5 linked regions of the Mus musculus genome follow. The protein of the gene in region 2 interacts with the protein of the main gene of each other region in a biochemical or structural test. Links are inferred from orthologs where the notes say so. Each region holds a gene or a part of one and is shown on either strand. Other genes may lie near its edges. The genes, in order: Pfn1, Actb, Hnrnpu, Hip1r and Sptbn2.

Evidence for each region.
Region 1: the proteins of Actb (region 2) and Pfn1 form a complex in vitro, tested with the Homo sapiens proteins (2 studies listed by BioGRID and IntAct, with this or other methods). The link is inferred for Mus musculus from reciprocal best matches to the Homo sapiens genes ACTB and PFN1.
Region 3: the proteins of Actb (region 2) and Hnrnpu form a complex in vitro, tested with the Homo sapiens proteins (2 studies listed by BioGRID). The link is inferred for Mus musculus from reciprocal best matches to the Homo sapiens genes ACTB and HNRNPU.
Region 4: the proteins of Actb (region 2) and Hip1r form a complex in vitro, tested with the Homo sapiens proteins (2 studies listed by BioGRID). The link is inferred for Mus musculus from reciprocal best matches to the Homo sapiens genes ACTB and HIP1R.
Region 5: the proteins of Actb (region 2) and Sptbn2 form a complex in vitro, tested with the Homo sapiens proteins (2 studies listed by BioGRID). The link is inferred for Mus musculus from reciprocal best matches to the Homo sapiens genes ACTB and SPTBN2.

The regions. Positions count from the first base shown.
Region 1 is NC_000077.6:70,651,848-70,656,157, forward strand, and holds the start of Pfn1 (profilin-1), read right to left. Parts: upstream 2,804-4,310; 5' UTR 2,634-2,803; coding exon 2,502-2,633; exon of another isoform or gene 1,278-2,501; intron 1,133-1,277; coding exon 940-1,132; intron 375-939; coding exon 277-374; 3' UTR 1-276. UniProt on the Homo sapiens protein: Binds to actin and affects the structure of the cytoskeleton. At high concentrations, profilin prevents the polymerization of actin, whereas it enhances it at low concentrations. By binding to PIP2, it inhibits the formation of IP3 and DG.
Region 2 is NC_000071.6:142,903,947-142,908,136, forward strand, and holds the start of Actb (actin, cytoplasmic 1), read right to left. Parts: upstream 2,809-4,190; 5' UTR 2,706-2,808; intron 1,747-2,705; 5' UTR 1,741-1,746; coding exon 1,618-1,740; intron 1,531-1,617; coding exon 1,291-1,530; intron 837-1,290; coding exon 398-836; intron 303-397; coding exon 121-302; intron 1-120. UniProt on the Homo sapiens protein: Actin is a highly conserved protein that polymerizes to produce filaments that form cross-linked networks in the cytoplasm of cells.
Region 3 is NC_000067.6:178,335,008-178,339,305, forward strand, and holds the start of Hnrnpu (heterogeneous nuclear ribonucleoprotein U), read right to left. Parts: upstream 2,809-4,298; 5' UTR 2,565-2,808; coding exon 1,946-2,564; intron 1,152-1,945; coding exon 1,040-1,151; intron 949-1,039; coding exon 875-948; intron 1-874. UniProt on the Homo sapiens protein: DNA- and RNA-binding protein involved in several cellular processes such as nuclear chromatin organization, telomere-length regulation, transcription, mRNA alternative splicing and stability, Xist-mediated transcriptional silencing and mitotic cell progression.
Region 4 is NC_000071.6:123,990,626-123,994,135, reverse strand, and holds part of Hip1r (huntingtin-interacting protein 1-related protein), read right to left. Parts: intron 3,195-3,510; coding exon 3,114-3,194; intron 2,699-3,113; coding exon 2,622-2,698; intron 2,393-2,621; coding exon 2,331-2,392; intron 1-2,330. UniProt on the Homo sapiens protein: Component of clathrin-coated pits and vesicles, that may link the endocytic machinery to the actin cytoskeleton. Binds 3-phosphoinositides (via ENTH domain).
Region 5 is NC_000085.6:4,717,704-4,721,213, reverse strand, and holds part of Sptbn2 (spectrin beta chain, non-erythrocytic 2), read right to left. Parts: intron 2,396-3,510; 5' UTR 2,374-2,395; coding exon 2,217-2,373; intron 459-2,216; exon of another isoform or gene 370-458; intron 1-369. UniProt on the Homo sapiens protein: Probably plays an important role in neuronal membrane skeleton.

The sequences.
Region 1 (4,310 bases), on a different chromosome or scaffold from region 2:
TGTTAGTAGAATCTTTTTTTATTCAGAAAAAAAAAAAAAAAAAAAAGACCAAAAAACAAAAAATGAAACCCAAAAACAAAAATTTTCCAAACACACACAGGAGGGGGTATGGGTAGGGGGAGGTGTCTGTCCATCCAGCCCCAGCCCCCAGCCCATGTGGTTTTGGCAGCAATAAGGGAAATGGGGTAATGGCCCAAAAAATAATGGTATGTGTGTGTATGGAAAGAAGGGGGTGCAAAAGCCAAAGGGAACGGTGGGGGGAAGGGACAGATGAGGTCAGTACTGGGAACGCCGCAGGTGAGAGGCCATTTCATAACATTTCTTGTTGATCAAACCACCGTGGACACCTTCTTTGCCCATCAGCAGGACTAGCGCTGGAGGAAAGAAAAAGGAAGCTAGGACCCAGGTGTCACAATTCAACCCTGCCAGCTGTTCAGCAGCTGTCTGGCCCCGGGGGTTGTAACCTAACCTCAGCCCTCCTAACCAGCCCTCCCCCCCTTATACACAGGCAGGCTGTCAGTCATCCTAAAACAATAGAGCTTTTCAAAGAAGGAAAAAAAAAAAAGAGCTTTAAGAGTAGTAAAGAAAAAGGCAAAATTTAGAGGTCCTAAACTTCCAGGCTGTAGGTGGCTAGGAACGGCTGTGATGCGCTTCCTACCTCTCAAGTCTTTACAGAACTGGAGATTAGAGCCAAATGCTGACTTAAGATCCCAACTGCCCTAAGCAAACTAATCTCAAAAAAGCTCAAAGCAAGAAGGGACTTAAGAGGTAATATAAGTTTTAGTTTCTTTACAAGCTGGGGAGCCAGAGTCAGAACCCAAAGGACCATCCACGGTTCCCATAACCAGCAGAGTAAATACTGTTATGCAGCCTTGACACTGAGGACACATAAAGTGACTAACAAAAGGATTTCAAAGCTAGAGAATCAGTCAAACTCACTCTTGGCAGTCATGGTGACAGTGACATTGAAGGTGGGGGCTCCTCCGGTGCTCTTGGTACGAAGATCCATTGTAAATTCCCCGTCTTGCAGCAGTGAGTCCCGGATCACAGAACATTTCTGGCCCCCAAGTGTCAGCCCATTGACGAAAAAACTTGACCGGTCTTTGCCTACCAGGACACCAACCTCAGCTGGCTAAAAGAATTAATCACCTCATTAAGTTAGTGCACCTGCATAACTTGTCCTCTTATGTACTGTGGAGCTGGAGTTGAGGGTGCTTCATCCACACCACCAAAAGTTGGGGGGAAAACCCAGTACTGTGGGTATTGCAGAGACCGATCATGGTCCTAAAGTCTGGTAAATGGGTCAAGGAGGAAAAAGTATTCCTCTGAAGTCTTAGATGTTCATGCTTAATAGGGAAAGCAAATGCTGGGTACCAGAAATCGATCAATGATCGAGGGGGAGCCTTTGGATGCTCAGAACAGCCCTTCAGGAAAAGCAGAAGCAAAGAGGGGAAGGGAGGGGGTAGGAAGGGAGGAGAAGTAACTTTGTCCTTATTTGGTCAAAGGTTCTGCAGGCGTTGTTAGGAGCCCGGACGCCTGGGTCTCCGGGTAACCTGGAGTTTGGGTCCAGGTAGCTATGCCCCAAGATAAGGAAGCTGACCCCGGGGGCTCTCTAATTAAGTTCAAAAAGTTTATTAGGGCAGGAGACTAGTCTGTGTGTGAGTCTAGACATCCCAGAGAACCTTTCTCCTTCTCCCCCTTAAACCCCCAAACCCCTATATCCGGTACCCTCCCGCCCGGAAATCCCCTCCCCCCATTCGAACTTCCGCTCCCCCTCCCCACTTCCGGGCAGTGTGGTCAGGGAAGGTGGTGGTAGGGACAGCAGCAACCTTATTCCTTCACTTTTACCGTCTCAGAACTTCTCACAAAGTTCCCCTACGCCGGGCCCGGGCGGATGGCGGGAAGGGAGGGCGAGGGGACTTCCGGAATCGGCCTCCCAGGAATGTTGAGGCTAACGTGCCGACTTGGGGGGTGTGTGTGTGTGTGGCGGCCTCGCCCTCTCTAACGGAGCTGGGAGGGGCAGGGTGGCTACCGAGGTCCGGCCCGGGCCCAAGGCCACGCGCCTGGCGCTCCCATCAGCGTCAGGGGGAACAATGGTGGAGGGAGAGCGAGCATTCGGCCCGAAGGGGAGTCCAGGCTCCGGAGCCCCTTATCAATCATAATCCCGGGCTAAAACTGCAGCGCGTGCCCGCCCCGCCCTGGAGGAGGCGGAAGTGGGCCGCCGCACCGGCCGCCGCGCCCCTCCCCGCCCTGGGCCCCGGATGTAACGCCCGGTCGCAGAAAGCGGGGCGGCGGGCGAGATGGGCGCCGCCGCCGAGGGGCGTAGAGCCCGGGGAACCACAGAGGGAGCCAGTCTCACGCAGCCGCCATTCGCCCCGCCGATGGGAGAGGACCGGATCACGGCCTCCCGCTGCCCTCGCTCGCCTGCGCCCGCCCCCACCCCAGTCCCCCAGAGGGTCTAAGGCCGGTCACTGCTCGGGACCGCACGAGCCTCGCAGTACCGTAATGCTAACGAAGGTCTTCCCGGGGACGGCGGCCCAGACGGAGGGCGAGTCCTTGTAGCCTACGATGGCCGCGTCCTGACAGGTCCCGTCCGCCATAAGGCTGTCGATGTAGGCGTTCCACCCGGCCATGGCGCTGCTGCTGGGGCTGCTCTGCGGGCTGTTGCTGGGATCGCGGGCTCGGGCTCGGGCTGGCGGGCGGGGGAAGGCAGAGAGCTCGGGGCACGCGCTGCCGTCCGGAACGCGGCTCTGTTAGCTGTGCAGCAGCCCTCGCACCGCCACTTCCTGCTCCTCCCCCCCCCCTCTAGATTTTTATTTGCAAAGGGCGGCGGGGCGGGGCCTGCGCCCCATTCCCTCCCTCCATCCTCCCCCCCCCCCCGCCGGGCCAGATAGCGAACTTTTGCAAATGCAATTTTTAAAAAACCCTCCCCCCACTTTGCAAAATTTGCCGAGTTCGATGGAAAGCCACGCCAAAGGCTATATAGAGTGGTGGTGGCAGGAGAGGTTAAGGTTAGGGCTCGCTCCGATTCATCCTGAATACCACTTGGCTATAGAAGGAGGAAGCCAGAGGAAGCAGGGAAAGAAAAAGAAAAAAAAAAAAAAAAGAAAATTAGTAAGGTTGAGCAAGTTGAAGTGGGTTCGGGGAACCCAGGGTTAAACCGAATCATTCCTCCACCCCCCAACCCCCACCTCCGCGGGAGGGAAGGAACGGCGGGCGGCGGCGCGTGCGCCCGCGCCTGCGCCGGGGCAGTGAGAAGCCAGCGCGTGGGGCGGTTGGGGCTAGCGGCTTGGCTGCGTGAGCGCGCGCCTGGCGGGACACATTTGGACCATCCGAGGAGGGAAGACGCGTCCCCAGCAGTCGGGACGGGCAGACGCCCCGGGTTGGGCCCTGCTGCCTTCTCCACATTTATCTAAACGATAAGGGAGCAAAAGTGAAATCGATATAATACTCTAGTCATTTTCAGTACTAAAGGTCTCTCCAACCAGGGCACCTGTCCCAACCGTCTGCCATGTACAGCGCACACGTTGGGTTCATTCGAGCGCGTCCCTAGATTCCCGAGGAATCATTCCCTTCGCTGGATCCGCTCCAGCTCAGCCTCGCCCCATGCCTGAACCCTGTCTACAGAGGTCACTGAATAGGGGCGCCACCCGGGTGACACGACGGGACTCATTTTTCAAGGCGGAAGAATACTAAAGTACCAAGGATGACAACTTTTATAAGAAGAGGAAAGTCCCCTCTACTTTGGACGCACTGGGGCTTTCTTCTTTTCCAGAAAAACTTTTGCTAAGTATTTATGTGCGGTCAGCTCACTCGCCGCCGAGCAGGTCTAGGGGCGAATGGCAGGCCACTGAGGCTGGAGGGAGTAAAGGAGTCACCCGGGACCCTGGCCTCCGAGGGGCTCGGCCGCTTCCGGTCCCTCGGAGGAGGGGCGCCAGGGTGTGCAGCCTCTCCCAGTGGAAGTACTTGGTTCGCTGCCTTTTGGAGCCGGGTTGGGTTCCCTGACGTTCATCCCCAAATTCTGGCTCCCCACGCCCCCCAGCCGAGGTTCTTCGACAGCCGCGTGGCTGAGTCACGGGCGGGGCCGCGCTGGGGCACGTGGCGGCCTGCGCCCGCCATCCCTTGACCTCTGATCTGCGCGCCTCCTGCCCGGGGGTGGAAAAATCCCGCAGGGAGCGGCAGGAGATAAGAGAGGAGGGGCGGGACAGGGACGCCACGACAGGTGGGGACCCTAGGGTGGAGGCAAGGAGGGCGACCCCGTGGGGAGGGCCGACGGGGAGGAGCGCTCGAGAGCCGGCCGCCGCGTGAGT
Region 2 (4,190 bases):
GAAAGCAAGACAAGATGGTGAATGGTGAGCTCTCTGGGTGCTGGGATTCCCCTTAAACCTAGAAGGTTGCTCTGACAACCACAGGGCCCACCCTCACCAAGCTAAGGATGCTTAGCTTACCTTGATCTTCATGGTGCTAGGAGCCAGAGCAGTAATCTCCTTCTGCATCCTGTCAGCAATGCCTGGGTACATGGTGGTACCACCAGACAGCACTGTGTTGGCATAGAGGTCTTTACGGATGTCAACGTCACACTTCATGATGGAATTGAATGTAGTTTCATGGATGCCACAGGATTCCATACCTAAGAGAAGAGTGACAGAAATCAGACTTAACTTGTACTATGGCCTCAGGAGTTTTGTCACCTTTAGATGGAGAAAGGACTAGGCTACAACTTACCCAAGAAGGAAGGCTGGAAAAGAGCCTCAGGGCATCGGAACCGCTCGTTGCCAATAGTGATGACCTGGCCGTCAGGCAGCTCATAGCTCTTCTCCAGGGAGGAAGAGGATGCGGCAGTGGCCATCTCCTGCTCGAAGTCTAGAGCAACATAGCACAGCTTCTCTTTGATGTCACGCACGATTTCCCTCTCAGCTGTGGTGGTGAAGCTGTAGCCACGCTCGGTCAGGATCTTCATGAGGTAGTCTGTCAGGTCCCGGCCAGCCAGGTCCAGACGCAGGATGGCGTGAGGGAGAGCATAGCCCTCGTAGATGGGCACAGTGTGGGTGACCCCGTCTCCGGAGTCCATCACAATGCCTGTGGTACGACCAGAGGCATACAGGGACAGCACAGCCTGGATGGCTACGTACATGGCTGGGGTGTTGAAGGTCTCAAACATGATCTGTAGAGAAAAATAAATAATGTTGTCAAGTTCAGAAAGCCACAAGAAACACTCAGGGCAGGTGAAACTGTATGGATAGATCTGAGACATGCAAGGAGTGCAAGAACACAGCTAAGTTCAGTGTGCTGGGAGTCTCAGGACAGGGGCTCCACTTAGACCTACTGTGCATCTACTCAATACACACTCCAAGGCCACTTATCACCAGCCTCATTAGCTTTGTCACACGAGCCATTGTTAGTACCTAAACCCACAGCACTGTAGGGTTTAAACACCTAGTCAGAAAGGCAATTGAGAGAAAAAAAGACCTCGTCTGGGAAAGAGCAGAAACTGCAAAGATCCAAGGGAGACTCAGCTCATAGAAGGGAGTCCTATGGGAGAACGGCAGAAGAAAGACAATTGAGAAAGGGCGTGGCTGAGAAGCTGGCCAAAGAGAAGGGTTACCCGGGATACTGACCTGGGTCATCTTTTCACGGTTGGCCTTAGGGTTCAGGGGGGCCTCGGTGAGCAGCACAGGGTGCTCCTCAGGGGCCACACGCAGCTCATTGTAGAAGGTGTGGTGCCAGATCTTCTCCATGTCGTCCCAGTTGGTAACAATGCCATGTTCAATGGGGTACTTCAGGGTCAGGATACCTCTCTTGCTCTGGGCCTCGTCACCCACATAGGAGTCCTTCTGACCCATTCCCACCATCACACCCTGTGGAAGGGAACAGCCTTCTTAGCACCGGCATCGATCCCCAAGAAAACCCCAGGCTTGCCACTCCCAAAGTAACAGGTCACTTACCTGGTGCCTAGGGCGGCCCACGATGGAGGGGAATACAGCCCGGGGAGCATCGTCGCCCGCGAAGCCGGCTTTGCACATGCCGGAGCCGTTGTCGACGACCAGCGCAGCGATATCGTCATCCATGGCGAACTATCAAGACACAAAAGAAGGCTATAGTCACCTCGGGGCCGCCAAGAGCAGCCGCTGCCGCCCTGCCCACTTCCGGCAAGCCGCGGGCTCGAGCCGCCAGGGGGCGCGCGCCCAAGCTCAGGGGACAAAGGAAGCGCAGACCGGCCGCATTATTACCATAAAAGGCAAACGCTGGCCCGGAGGCGGACCTAGGGCAGGAAGCCAGACCTCCGCCCCCTCCCCAAACGGGCGCAAGCTCCGCCTACACTGCGCCGACGGGCGGCTTGTGCGCGCGCGGGAGGCGACCACACCCAGCAGGAAGCGCAAACAAGGCGCCCGTGCCACTGTGACCCCGCCCCTTCCGGACAACGGCCCCGCCCTCGCCCAACCCCGGGCAGCCGCGCTCCCAGCCTCAATACGCACGCGCAGCTAACTAGGAAGAGGGGGAGAGGAAGAGCTCCCTCCCTAGCGCACACGCGCCTCGATGCCCAGTGATAGAGAGCGCACGCGCAGTGGCATCCCAGCCCCCACCCGGCCGAGCCGGCCCTGCCGCGCCCGCCCGCCCGCCCGCCCGCCCGGCAAGCCGAATAGGCAAACCGGTTTGGACAAAGACCCAGAGGCCATTGAGGCGTGATCGTAGCGTCTGGTTCCCAATACTGTGTACTCTCAAGATGGACCTAATACGGCTTTTAACACCCGCAAGCCGCACCGGCTCATCAAATGCCCACACCGCGACCCTAGTGTGTCCCCAAGCCCCACGCACCGAGCGGGAGCGGGCCCACGAGTGTCTACACCGCGGGAATGTGGCTGCAAAGAGTCTACACGCTAGGCGTAAAGTTGGCTGTGCCAGTGTCCGCTCCGCGGCCCGGCACCACCCTCCACCCGCCCATGGTGTCCGTTCTGAGTGATCCTCAGGACCCTGCAGTGAGGTACTAGCCACGAGAGAGCGAAGGCCCGCTGGGCCCGGCGTCCCTGCTTACCTGGTGGCGGGTGTGGACCGGCAACGAAGGAGCTGCAAAGAAGCTGTGCTCGCGGGTGGACGCGACTCGACAGTGGCTGCGCGTTGCGCCGCCGGGTTTTATAGGACGCCACAGCGGCCACTCGAGCCATAAAAGGCAACTTTCGGAACGGCGGGCGCTGATTGGCTCCGCGTCGCTCACTCACCGGCCTCGCCGCACAGTGCAGCATTTTTTTACCCCCTCTCCCCTCCTTTTGAAAAAAAAAAAAAAAAAGAAGAAGAAAAAAAAAAAAAGCGAGAGAGAAAGCGAGATTGAGGAAGAGGATGAAGAGTTTTGGCGATGGGTGCTGGCTCCGTAGGCCCAGATGTACAGGAATAGCCTCCGCCCTTGTGGACACTGCCCCATTCAATGTCTCGGTTACTAGGCCTGCATTCTGGGGGTCACCCAACCACCCCAGGACCCTCTGGGTGTGGATGTCACGTGGATATCGAGCACTTAAGTGGATGAGGGTCAGCATCGAGGCCCGGACCCTATTTGTGTGGCCTCTTGTTTGAGGGACACGCGGGGCCTGGATTGAATGGACAGAGAGTCACTCCCCCTTGCTAGCAATTGCTAGCAATAGCCGGAAAGCCAGATCCGGGGGGGCCCCTTCTGCTGTGGTTCTAATTTGCTAGGTGTGTTGGGGTTCAACTTGGAAGCAGAACTCTGGTTGGAGAGGTTTTCATGGATCTTGACCTCTTAGAGACTCAAGGCCATCCTATCCCAAGCATAGGGCGAGCCCCAGTGGTCCAATAACTGGAGGTGTTGCAAGAAGATGCCTCCAGATATCCCCTGCCCCGGATCTAGAAAGGAACTGTGCTCAATAGAACAAACAAAACTTCTCATGGAGTCAGGCACTTTTGGAGAACTGCCTGATCACACCCAGGCAAGACTAAGCCTGGGCCGTTAGCTAGTGTCTCTGGGTGACTGCCAGACATCGCTGGGCTGGGGCCCACCATCTATCCTCTATTTATTATGTGCAGCCACAGCTGAGTTGTGCACTAGTCCATCTGCCAGCCGTGGGGATTCTGGGAGTGACAAGCTGCTCAGGGAAAAGTTGGTGGTCACCGGAGCCCCAAATCCTCCAGAGAGAAGCAGCCCCTGTCCCCCTCACCTAAGTACCAGTGTTCTACTTAGCAAGCCAGCTATTTGGCTGAGAGCTACACACGGGGTCAGGGTTGAGGGCCGGATCCCTCAGCTTAGCTTAGAAGGACACGCACCTTCTGGGAGAGTGTGACAGAAAGCTGGATTTAGGCAAGAAGGGTGCTTCAGGTGAGATGCTCTGGGCCTGCCGTGCCTCAGTGCATGCATAGGTAGGTGTTCACTGGCTCACAAAGTGTAGGTGTTGAAACCAAAGAAGGCTTCATCCATATATGGACTACAGTGGCCAGCTTCCTTGTTCTTGGCTGGTGGCAGGGCATTTTGAAGTTGCTGAGGCCTTGTCTGGAAGAGGTGACCATCACCCCA
Region 3 (4,298 bases), on a different chromosome or scaffold from region 2:
TGTTTTACACTTAACTCTCAGGGCTCTGAACAATTTGTACAGGGAAAACATGAGAATCCAAGCTTTTAACCCCTTCTACCAAGTGAAATCCTGTAACTAAGCACTGATTTGTACTTTTTTTGTTCTGCTCACACCAAAAGATATGTTCTTATTAAATACTAAACTGACTTCTTTAAAGGATAAAAATACAAATCTGACAGCTAAAGCCCATTTCATGGTTTGCAATACTTCCTCATATTCAATTGCAACCCAACTGGGTTAAGTAGCATATTTACAGTGCTGCCATTGATACCATTCGCTGCTGAAGAAAGCTAGTGGCTCAGATAGCCCACTGCTGCTGCCCCAGGTCTTTGGAAGAAATCAACTTATGTTAAAGCAGCAGCTACTGAACTGGAATTGAGAACAAAAGAGCAGTTATTGAAAGTTAATATTACAATCCTTAGAATAGGGAATACACTTGTGTGCTAATGGGAAAATCAGTAAGTATTCAACTAGCCCAAATAGCTCACTTAACATAGTTCCACGAGAAAAAACTAAATCATGTAATCTAAGGACAAGTTACAGGCAGGTTTTTAAAAAAACAAGTTTCTGATAGCCGAGCAAAAATTATTTAGTTTTACATCCCCCAAGTACTGAGAAGTTTCAACTCGTAAATATTACCAATTACTAGAGCTTGTTAAATCAATACAACTGAAGTGGTATTAATATTAAACTACTGTAGCCTGAGCATTAAGCTACTACCTTCCTGCTTTAAAATAAGTTTCTTAACTGGTTTTTTCCACTTTAAGATCAACACATTTTTCCTAACACTTAAAACCAATGTTAACACTGCACTTGAAAACTAGCAAAGAGCGGGAAAGTCCGCCTCACTTACAAGTATCAAGACAAACCACTGTGTCATCGAAGTGTTCGTCTTCTTCTTCAACAGGTGGCTGAGGAGACTTGGCTCTGAAAGACAGAATTGTCTCCTGATAAAGCTTTCCCCACCTTGTATACAAAAAGAGCGGGCGACTGTTAAAACTGGGTGAGGAGCCTCTACCTGCTGTACTTGTTTTCTTCGATGTACTCAAAATACCCTCGGCCATGATCTTCTCGCGGTCTTTTAACGCCTCTCTTTTTATCTCCACCTTTCTGTTCTGTTTTGCCGTCTCCTATAACGACACAGAACACCGCCTTAAAGCATCAGGCCGAAAACTAAATAATGCAGTTAAGCACCTTTTGTGTTTCGAGCCTCAAGAGCTGTTACTGATTATTTTTTTCTGACTGATTCTTTGACTTTTTTAATCGACAAATGAAAATAAAAAAGTCTGGACTTGGACTGGACACAGTGACGCAGTCTGAAGACTGAACTTGCCAGCCTACCGCAACCTTCCAGAAAGCATTTTTTAAAAAGAGTTTAAAAAAAAAAAAAGCGGGACACCGCCCGGGCCCACGTGCGCCGGCCGCGCTCAAACGAGGGGGGGGGAAGCCTGGGCCCACCTCCCCTCCCCCACACGAGCCCGCGTGCCCCGCCGCCGCATTGTACTGAGCTTCCGCCCCGCTCCCCGCGCCTGCCGCCGGAAGTGACGTCACCACGAGCCCCTGCGCTCCTTGCACAATACCGCGGCGCTAAGCCGCCAAAGCCCGCCCGCTCCGGGACCTTCGGGCTTCTCCCCTCCCCCCACCGCCGACATGTGCCCGGACCGCGCGCACGCAGCGCCCCAGCGGCCGGCGCTCCCGCCCGGCCGGCCCCCCCACCGCGGCAGCTGCAGCGCTCCCCCCACCCCGGCGCCCGACATACATAATGGAGGCGCCGCCGGCATGGCGAGCAGAGCCTCCCGGGGCTCCCCCGCCCCCACCCTCCCGCGGCGCTCGCCCCGAGGGGCCCCGGCAGGCCTGGGGCACGGTCCCCACCGCCACGCGCACCCATCACGCAACACTCACCCGCCACCTTCCGCCTTCTTACCTCCCGCCTGCTGTTGGCCCTGCCTCGCCCCTGGCGGCGCCACCGTCACCGCGAAGAGCGAGGTGGGGCCGCTGCTCTTGCCCGCGGCCTCCTTGCCGGCACCACGCTGCTGGGAAGGCTGCTGCTGCGCCGCCGCTGCCGGCGGTTGGGACTGCTGCTCCCCGTGACCGTTCTCGTCGCCCGCGCCCTCCTCCTCGTCGCCGAGCTCGTCTTCCCCCTCCTGGAAGCCCTGGTCGTCGCCGTTCTCGTCTTCCGACGCTGCCTCCTCTTCCTCCATCGCGCCGGCGTCAGCCGCCCCCGCCGCCCCGTTCTCCTCGCCCAGCTCCATCTGGTCGCCGTCCAGAGCGGCGATGCCCTCCTCCTCCTCGTCGTCTTCGGCGCCAGCCGCGGCCTCCTGCTCTAGGCCCGCTCCCGAGCGCCCGGCCGCATCGCCACCTAGGTCGAGACTGCCGTTCCCGGGCTCCATGGCGGGGCGGCCTCCTGCCTCGTTGTCCAGCGCGGCCTGGAGTCGATCCATGAGATCGGCCTTGAGGCCCTTGTCGGAGAGGCGCCGCTTCTTGAGCTCCTCCTTCAGCTCCGACACCTTCAGCTTCTTGACATTAACAGGCGAAGAACTCATGTTGAGGGCCCCGGTTCCCCGCTGACTGCTGGCTCCCTCGGCCTGTGGCGGCGGCGGCTGCTGCTGGTCGGCCCGGGCGGCGGCTGCGGCTGGAGATGGCTGAGTGCTGCTGCAGAACGGACCCGCCTGGTGTCGAACGGCGCCAATTCCTTTCACCGAGTTCGCGAGGCAAGACGCGGAGACTCGCCCGGCGCGAGCGAGCACGCAACGTCCTCTCGCAGGGGCGGCGCCGCGCACGTAATATAGGCGCCCCGCCCCCTGCCGAGGCGAGGCCCGCTAGAGCGGCTGCGCGCGCAGGCCCCGCCCCGCCCCCACTGCGCGACCTCCGCGCTGGGCCGGACCGCGCAAATGGAGGCTCTTAGAAGCCACCTTTCGGTTAAACGGACCCGCCGCAGTGGCCGCCGGCCTTTCCGGCTCTTGAGCCGCCGCGCTCCACCGGCGCTCTGCCTTCTGTGTCCTGGCGGAGGCTCTCCTCCACCCGCCTTCAGTCCTCACCTGGCATTTTCCACTCGAGAACAACCTCCTTTCTTCCATCTTAGTTTAGTTTTTTGGTTTTCGGGTTGTTTTTTTTGTTGTTGTTTCTTGGGTTTTTTTTTTTTTGTTTTGGTTTTTGTTTTTTTTTTTGTCCCTCCGGCTCTAGGTTTAAAAAACTCTTCAAGTTTCCACCGCTGCCCTGTAGAACACCCATAGGCGATTGTTATGCAAAGGTGGTGTTTTGTTTAGTTTTTCCACCATTTAACTGCGTTTTTAAATTTTACAAGTCCTGCCTTGCCAGTCGGACTTATTTTAAGTTCCGCAAGGGCGAGGCCAGAGCCTTTCTTTTGTCTCTTCCCCAACCAGTGGTGCAAGGTTTGGGAAAGAGGCTTGCTGTACTCCACCATGCCTAACAGCCATATAGAGCGGGCCTTGTGTTGCTACTCACCGTATTTTCTATTGACCTTTGAGTAAGCCTTAGATTTTCATGGAAGTTCCCCTCGTTGTACTATAAAGATAGGCCTCTGTCCCCTGCAAATCTGATCCACCAGTTTGGAGACCCTTTAATTACAGATGAGGAAGACAGCCAGCACCCAGCTAGATTATGCACTTTGATCCTCTCCCTGTTTTTTCAGCCACTCTAAACATGTTTGTATACCTGCTGACTTGTCTACAAACTGGTAGTAACAAAAGGCTGGGATTTAGTAAAAAAAGAAAACACCTGTAGTTCTATTACTTGGCAGAGTGAGGCAGAAGTATCAAGAGTTAAAAGCTAGCCTGGGCTACTTAGTAAATTCCAGGCTTATCTGGGTTGAATACCAGACCCTATCTCAAAAAAGAAAAGAAAAAAAATTATGATTTGTTTTCTGGCATTAAATATGTTGTGTTCTTGAAACTTTTATATAGAATTTAATTTCTACACTGGGGCCTTCCTGTGTAGATTGCACCCAAGCTATGCTTGGTGGTACATGTGTATAATTTCAACACTTGGGAGATACAGGTAAGATGATCAAGAATTCAGTGTCAGCCAGGCAGGCAGTGGTGACACCCAAGTTTGGCTCCAGCGCTCAGGAAGCAGAGGCACCCCACCCACCCACCCCCATCCCCTCACCCCCACCCCCACCCTGTCTATGAAGCCAGTTCCAGGACAGCCAGAGCTACACAAAGAAACCCTGTCTCAAGCTAAGCAACTAAGCAACTCAGTCAATAAAATTCATTGTCATCCTTGGCTACAAAAGTTCAAAGCCAGTAGGAGATACC
Region 4 (3,510 bases), about 19 Mb from region 2:
CTGTCACTCCAACTAAGCATGTTAGTGCAAACCTATAATCTGCTCAGAAAACTGAGGCAGGAGGATTGAGCTCAAGGCCAAACTTCTGAAAAGCAAGACCTTGTCTCAAAAACAACAAAAGAGGCCGGAGAGGTGGCTTAGGGGCTACTGTGCTGGCTACTCTTCCTGAAGACCTAGGTTCTATTTCCCAACACACACACACACACACACACACACACACACACACACACACCCTCACAACTAATCCATAACTCTGGTGCCAGAGGGTTTGATGCCCTCTTCTGGCTTCTACAGGTACCAGGCATAGACATGGTACACAGATGTACATGCAGGCCAAACACCATACGGGTTTGGTTTTTGGTTTTCGTAAAAAGACTGTCACTGTAATAGCCCATCGTGTAGCTGTGGAGACTGGCTAGTGTCTGTTCCAGGTCACAGCCTTGAACACAGGCTCTGTGAGCCCCAAATGACCTGATGCCTCCTCACTTGTCCTGGAGACCCTGACAATCAGGCCTTGTATCAGAACTCCAGAGAAAGAGGGACAGACAAAGGACAAACACGAGGCTGCCTCCCCTGGCCAGCATCTTCTCTGGGGCAGAGAGGGGAATGACAAAGAGCGGGGCAGTGAGCCAGGCCGGGAGAGCAGCCAGGCCCCATGTGGGGCAGATCTGAGTGGTGCCAGAAGCCCTCAGCCCCTTGGTCTGGCCATGCCTGGGGGGGGGGGGGGAGGAGCTGTCTGCAAGGATGGAAGCCACACTAGGGTTTTGTTTCTTTGTTTGGTTTTGGCTTTTTTTTATCTTGGGGTGTGTGTGTGTGTGTAAACTCTGGTTTTGTTCTGTGCCCTTCCTTTCTCCCTTCCTCTGCCCCTCCCTCCTCCCCAGAGTGTCGCCCACCCACCCACCCCCACATGCTAGGCAAGCACTTCATTATTTAGGTGCCACCCTGGCTAATCGAGACCAGATTGGTCTCAAACTCAGATATATGATTGATTTTTTTCTCTTAAGCACCAGGATTAAGGGCATGTGCCACCAAACTCGGACCTCTTATTTAAAGTTTTCTTTCCTTTATTTTCTATGTATAGGTGTTTTGCCTGTGCACCACATGCCTGCAATGCCCTCAAAGGCCAGAAGAGGGCATCAGATCCCCTAGAACTGGACAGTTAGGACCAGCCACAGGGCCAGGGCGCTCTCCAGCCCTTCTCACTTTTGAGACTGGGTCTCAGTAAGCTCCCCAGGTTGACCTTGAACTTACTCTAGCTCAAGCAGGCCTCAAATTCACGATTCTCCTGCCTCAGCCTTCTGAGGCACATCGCTCTTAACAGCCTTGCACTCCCATTGAAGGCAGTGTGTTACAGCGGGCTTTCTACTGAGGTAGACCTGCAGGGGTTTCTATCTTCTGTCACCTACGTGTGCCCACTCTCTATAAGTCACCAAGGATAGGGGCCTGCAGGTCCTTCCCCCTGGGCCTCCTCCTAGGTCAAGAGCAGCTAGGGTGGGACACAAGGGCTACGGCTTGAATCTCACGGCCTGTGTGCTCTGAGGAGCTCGGGCTTCCCCTTTCTGCCAGGACTCAATTCCTGGTGGCCTGGGTCCAGCTGCACTACTGGGCCACACCCCTGGTGACCTGCCGTTTTGTCCTACTCCTGGACAGGCTCCACGCTGGCCTCTCACCCTCCAGAGCCACAGGCCCAGACCCAGCGTACAGAGTGGCTGTCCTGCCTCTTCCCAATTCCCTGTTTTTCCTTAAAAAGGCGTGTGCCTTGGGCTTCATCATAGCCAACAGTGAGTCACAGCAGTTATTTTGAAGGTACAGCCCAGAACAATCACCTCCCAGGCGGGCGGGGAGGGTGAGCCCTCAGAGATTTCCTGTCCAACAGCTGCCAGTTCTTTGGCTGAACAGTCTGACAGGACCGTGAGGCATTTCAGAACACACAGTAGGAAATGTTAGCCATGTTTTCTCTCCTGGAGAGTAGTGCGGTGCCGAGGCCAGGCAGGAGCCTAGAGGGTCCTCCATGGGGCACACCCCACCCTCCACACCCAGGGGCCCATAGTGGCCTTCATGTGCCATGTCTTGGACACACGTAGGGTCTCGAGGAAGGGAAGTCTCTGCTTGTGCTCTGGAGGTACCATGAGGCCCCCTTCTGTCTTGGAGGGAGAGGGACCCCAAGGAAGAGGTGCACGTAAGACCTGGGTTACTGTGGGTGCTCTATCAGAAGAATCACTCGCCCAGTGTCAGTGGGGCCCAGGTTTCACCCCAACAGCAGGAAAGACAAGTGAAAATCCAGCCTGCCCACCAGTGCCTTCACAGCCTGGCATGAGTGACTTGCTCACCTGACTCAGAAAGCTTCAGTTCACAGTCCATGTAGTCAAACATCTCCACGGTAAGCTGAAAACTAGGAGAAAAGACGGGGATGCAAAGGGCAGCAGGGCACACCCACACAATCCCCGAGACCCCTTAGGAACAGGAAGCAAACTCCATCAGGCAGAAACATGGAGTACCTGATAAACCCCTTCACCCATAGCCTGGCCCCCTGGGGGTCATGACCTTCAGCCCTGTGGCCTCACTTGACATGGTCCCCAGTGGGCAGGCACTTGGGGGAAACTGAGGCTACACAGACTCACATGTTGTTGACATCAGTTCCCGCCGCCTTCTCCAACACCTCATCTGTTACCTCCAGGCCTGCAGGAAACTGGGGATGCTGCAGAAACAGCCCCCACGCAGCCTCATTGAGCAGCCACACACGGGTCCCATCCCTGCTCCTGACAGCTCCCATGAGAAGGGGAGTCGCCAGGGAGGTTTCTCAATCCCCTCATTCTGTGATCCCAGCTTCTCTGGTTAAGCCAAAGGGGCCGACAGAAATCCTGGGGCTGAGGCAGGGGCAGCCTGACCAGGACTGACGGGCAAGGCCACTGGAGCACACACAGGCTGGCATCTGCATTGGATCTATGCAAACATGGAGACAGCCCGATGATCTCCTGCCAGTCTTCCTAGCCTCCACAGCAAGTGGACAGAGCATGGATGGACAGGTGCCATCCAACCCCCTCTATGCCCCAGGATGTCACAGAGAGAAGAGCCTCCCAGTCCCATAGTCCATGATTGCTCAGGGAGACTACCTTAAGGTGGAAGGAGATCTTAGTCAGCAACAGTTTGGTATAGATATTCACCAGGTGTCCATACTGGTCACGAAGGTGGCCCTGTGGGGATGGGAGCCCTGTGTGAGGTCACTGTCAAGAACACACCTAGGAATCCCAAGGATTGAGCATGTGCCCAGACAGGAAGAAAAGAGGTAGCAAGAGAAGCAGGCCTTTCTTCCACAAATCAGTCACTCACTCGCTCAACAAACATTTCCTGCTAGTCTTCACCAATCTCATTACTCTGTCTCTAGCTTCCCCTCCTTAACCTCATTCCTTGTCACTCTTGCCAGAGAAAGTCTTGTGAGAGGCAAAGAGAGCACTTTGTCGGGGCAACAGGCCAGTTCTGAGCAGGGCACTTTACTAAAGAGCTGGTGGC
Region 5 (3,510 bases), on a different chromosome or scaffold from region 2:
AGGATGCTGGGAGTTTCAAGGAGTGGGGAAAAAGTTATGGGATGCCTCAGCTTCTGAGACAGTGAGTGGGGCACACCTGGTTGTAGAGAGAGGAGACAGAGGCAGCTCCAGACAAACAGGTCGGACAGTGGCGGGGGAGGGGCAGGCTGCCTAGGAGGCGGAGCCAGTTGGGGCATGGCCAGGCCCTGCAGGGGCGGAGGAGGGAGTTGCCAGCACCCAGAGACCTGTTCGTCAGGCTACTAGTTGCCCAAGACTAGGGGAAAACTGCCAGAGAGGGCCCCAAAGCAAACTCCTGCTTTCAGAAGGTCTGCAGGTGGGCCAGCTTCTTTGGGCATCTCTAGGTGGGCTTGTTCCGGGATAGCTGAGCTTTGATCTCAGCCCTGAGAGCAGAGAAACGCGGAAGCAAGGAGATTCAGGAAGAGAAGCCAGGTGTTGACCCCTATGGCCTCCTCTGGGGAGTAAGTACTGTGACTGCCCTCCAGTACCAGCCCTTTCCCGCAGCCCACCAGCTCCTCAGTCAATATCCCAGCCCCGGACACCCTAATACTGGGCACGTTATCAGGGCCCTTCCTATCTCTTCCTAGGCCTCTGCTTCTGTCACTCTTAACCCACGCTTGTTCCTCCTCGTTTTAATTATTTAGGGTTTATTTGGCACCTACTGAGTGAGTGGCACTGTACAAAGCCATGGCCATTCACAGATGCCTCTCCAGGGGAATAAACACTCAATGAGACACTGCGTGTGCGCGTGCGCGTGCACTGTAACAGTTCTGATTGGTACAGGTCTTATGTGCAGAGTTTGACAATATTGGGAAGTATGTGTCAAATGCTCGGGCATGGTAGCAGTACTGAGTGGTATGTGGCGTGCTCAGACGTCGTGAGAGCTTCGGGTAGCACCTGTCATATGAACTAGACTTGGCAAATTTACTGGGTGGCATGTAGCATGTGCACATAGAGCTCATGATCACACTGGTTGGCATGTGACCCGTCCTGATACAGTGACAGTTCTGGGAGTTATGTGTCACTGCAGATACCATGAACGTTTTGGGTAGCATGTGCACCATAACATCAATGAGAGCGAGCGGATAGAGGATTCCCGAATCTAAACCCAGGCTGCCAGGCACACTTCTCCAACAGGGGTGACATTTTCCACGCCCCACATTTTCTGTCTTCCCTGAGCTACTGAAGTACTAATATGAGTATTTCATCAGCCGGCCTCCAGTCCCAGCTAGGAAGATGCCAGGAGAAAGTGACCCATGAACCCCACGAGCTGGAACCATTGTCCGGAAAGCTTTTAAGAGTCCTGAGTTTCTGGACTACATGTCCTTCTTGAGAACTGGTATTTGTAAAAAATTCTCTGGGCCTCCAAAACTCTTCTGCTGGGAGCTGCCCCACTGGGAAATCACTCCCTGTGTGGAAGTAATGAGGAATAAGCTCCCATAGTGGAACTGGCTGGGCCACGGGCAGGTCCGTGGGATGATTGTGGAAGGCAGCCTGGGTGGGTGGCCTTAGGGTGTGTAGGTGAGTCAATCCCAAAACAGCCACAGGCTGGTGGTGGTGTCAGGTGGCAGCTGCACTCCTGTTGCTATGACCACAGCCCCCCCCCCCCCCCAGGCAGGAGGCCAGTCAGACTGGTTTGTTTGTCCCAGCTCAGCCAAGGGGAGAGCCCTGGCCATAGGGGAGGGCAGGGGCCGAGGGGGTGGGTGGAGCACAAGCCCTGAGAGAATGGGAGGGCTGCTGCTGAGAGAACTGCTTCAGGGAACAGGTAAATAAAATAACTGGAGTCACAGGCAGCAGGTAGGAGGGCGGGGAGAGTGCCAGGAAGATAATGAGCCAGGAGTGGAACAGCTGTGGGAAACGTTGGGAGGGGAGGGGAGGGAGAAGTGGATGGGGACAGAAGTGACAACTAGAGATATAAAGGCAAAGCACTGCAGGGGCAGAGACCCGATGCAGGTAGATGCTCATCTACCCAGCTGGCTCCTTCCAGGGGTTAATGTGTGTGGCATCGCCAGGCTAGGGGAGAAGAAAACTAGGGGGTGTTGTACACTGCATGGGGTTTGTCCTTGAGGTTGGATCTGGTGACCAGGGGTCGGTACCTGTTTCTTCAGAGCAGCAGCTTAGAGACCGAGGCAAGTCTTCCCATAAAGACAGAGGATTCTCCATCGCAAGCTCAGAAACCCACCTCTACCAATCCCTTCGCCTCCCTGCCCCTCCCGTACCTGCCAGGGCCTTGATCCTGGACCTCTCAAAGAGGCGGGCCGAACTGCTGTCATTGTCCCAGTCTGAGTCAGGCAGGTCCCAGCGGTTGTTGATGTCACTGTACTGGCCCTGGATCTCCAAGCTGTCAAAGTCAGTGGGTGACAGAGTGCTGCTCATGGTGGTGGGTGGCTTCCTGTTCCTGCAAAAAGACGTGGCTGATGAGCAGCGCGCGGGGGGGGGGGGGGGGTGTGTGTGAGGCTGAGCCGCTGCTCACCAGGCCTTTCTTCTGCTTTTTGTTTGGATTTTTCAAGACATGGCTTATCTCTGTAGCCATGCCTGTCCTGGAACTTGCCTTGTAGACCAAGCTGACCTTAAACGTAAGGGATTCCCCTGCCTCTGCCTCCCACGTGCTGGGACTGAAGGTGTGCACCACCATGCTGGGTTATCATGTTCTTCTATCTGCTTGCCCCAGCTCTCCGTGGCTTTGCTGGAGCCAGAGGTTATGACTGGGTAGCTTTCTTTTGTTGGTGAAAAAAAAATCAGCCCCCAGTGGGAAGCCACCCTGAGGGAGTGGCTAGACAGGAATGATGAGGAGAGACACATGCACTTGAAGGAAGGAAGCATTGGAGCCTGCAAGGGCTTCAAGGGCCACAGGCCAGAGCTCCATAGGACAGAGCAGGTATGCTAAAGGAAGACACAAAGGATTCAGGGTCACGCACACAGCAGCTTTAAGATGATGGTTTCAGACTCCCGCTCTACTCTTCTTCTGAGTCTTCTTTGTAAGTACCTGGAGATTAAAGGCCCAGATTCTGCTCTAGAGCTGAGGTAAATTACCACAGAAGCATAAAGATGGCCGAACTGAGACAGGCACGGACCAAATGTCTAGGTGCTCATAGGGGGCAAGGCATGGCTCTTACCTCTAGGGCTCTTTTGTTGCTACAGAAAATGCTTCCTAAGTTCTTAACAAGTGTCAGTTGTGCCGTGTGTCCTGTCACTCATGAGCGGAGGGCCTTCCCTGATTCATAGATGAAGTAGCCACGCTGCTGCTGCTGTTAACCCACTGGCTCAGGGTTATTTGGCTCGAAGCTACATACTGGGTTTTGAAGCAAGGTTCTTTCTGACTTTAAAAAATGTCTTTTCAATTTTGTTTTATGGATATGAAAGTTTTGCTCTGTGTGTGTGTGTATACCTGTGTGTGCTTGCATGTGTACCATGCGTTTGCCTGGTGCCCAGTGAGGCCAAACGAGGATGCGGGAGTCACTGAAACTGACCTTACATATGGTTGTGAGCTGACCTGTGGGTGCTGGGAATCGA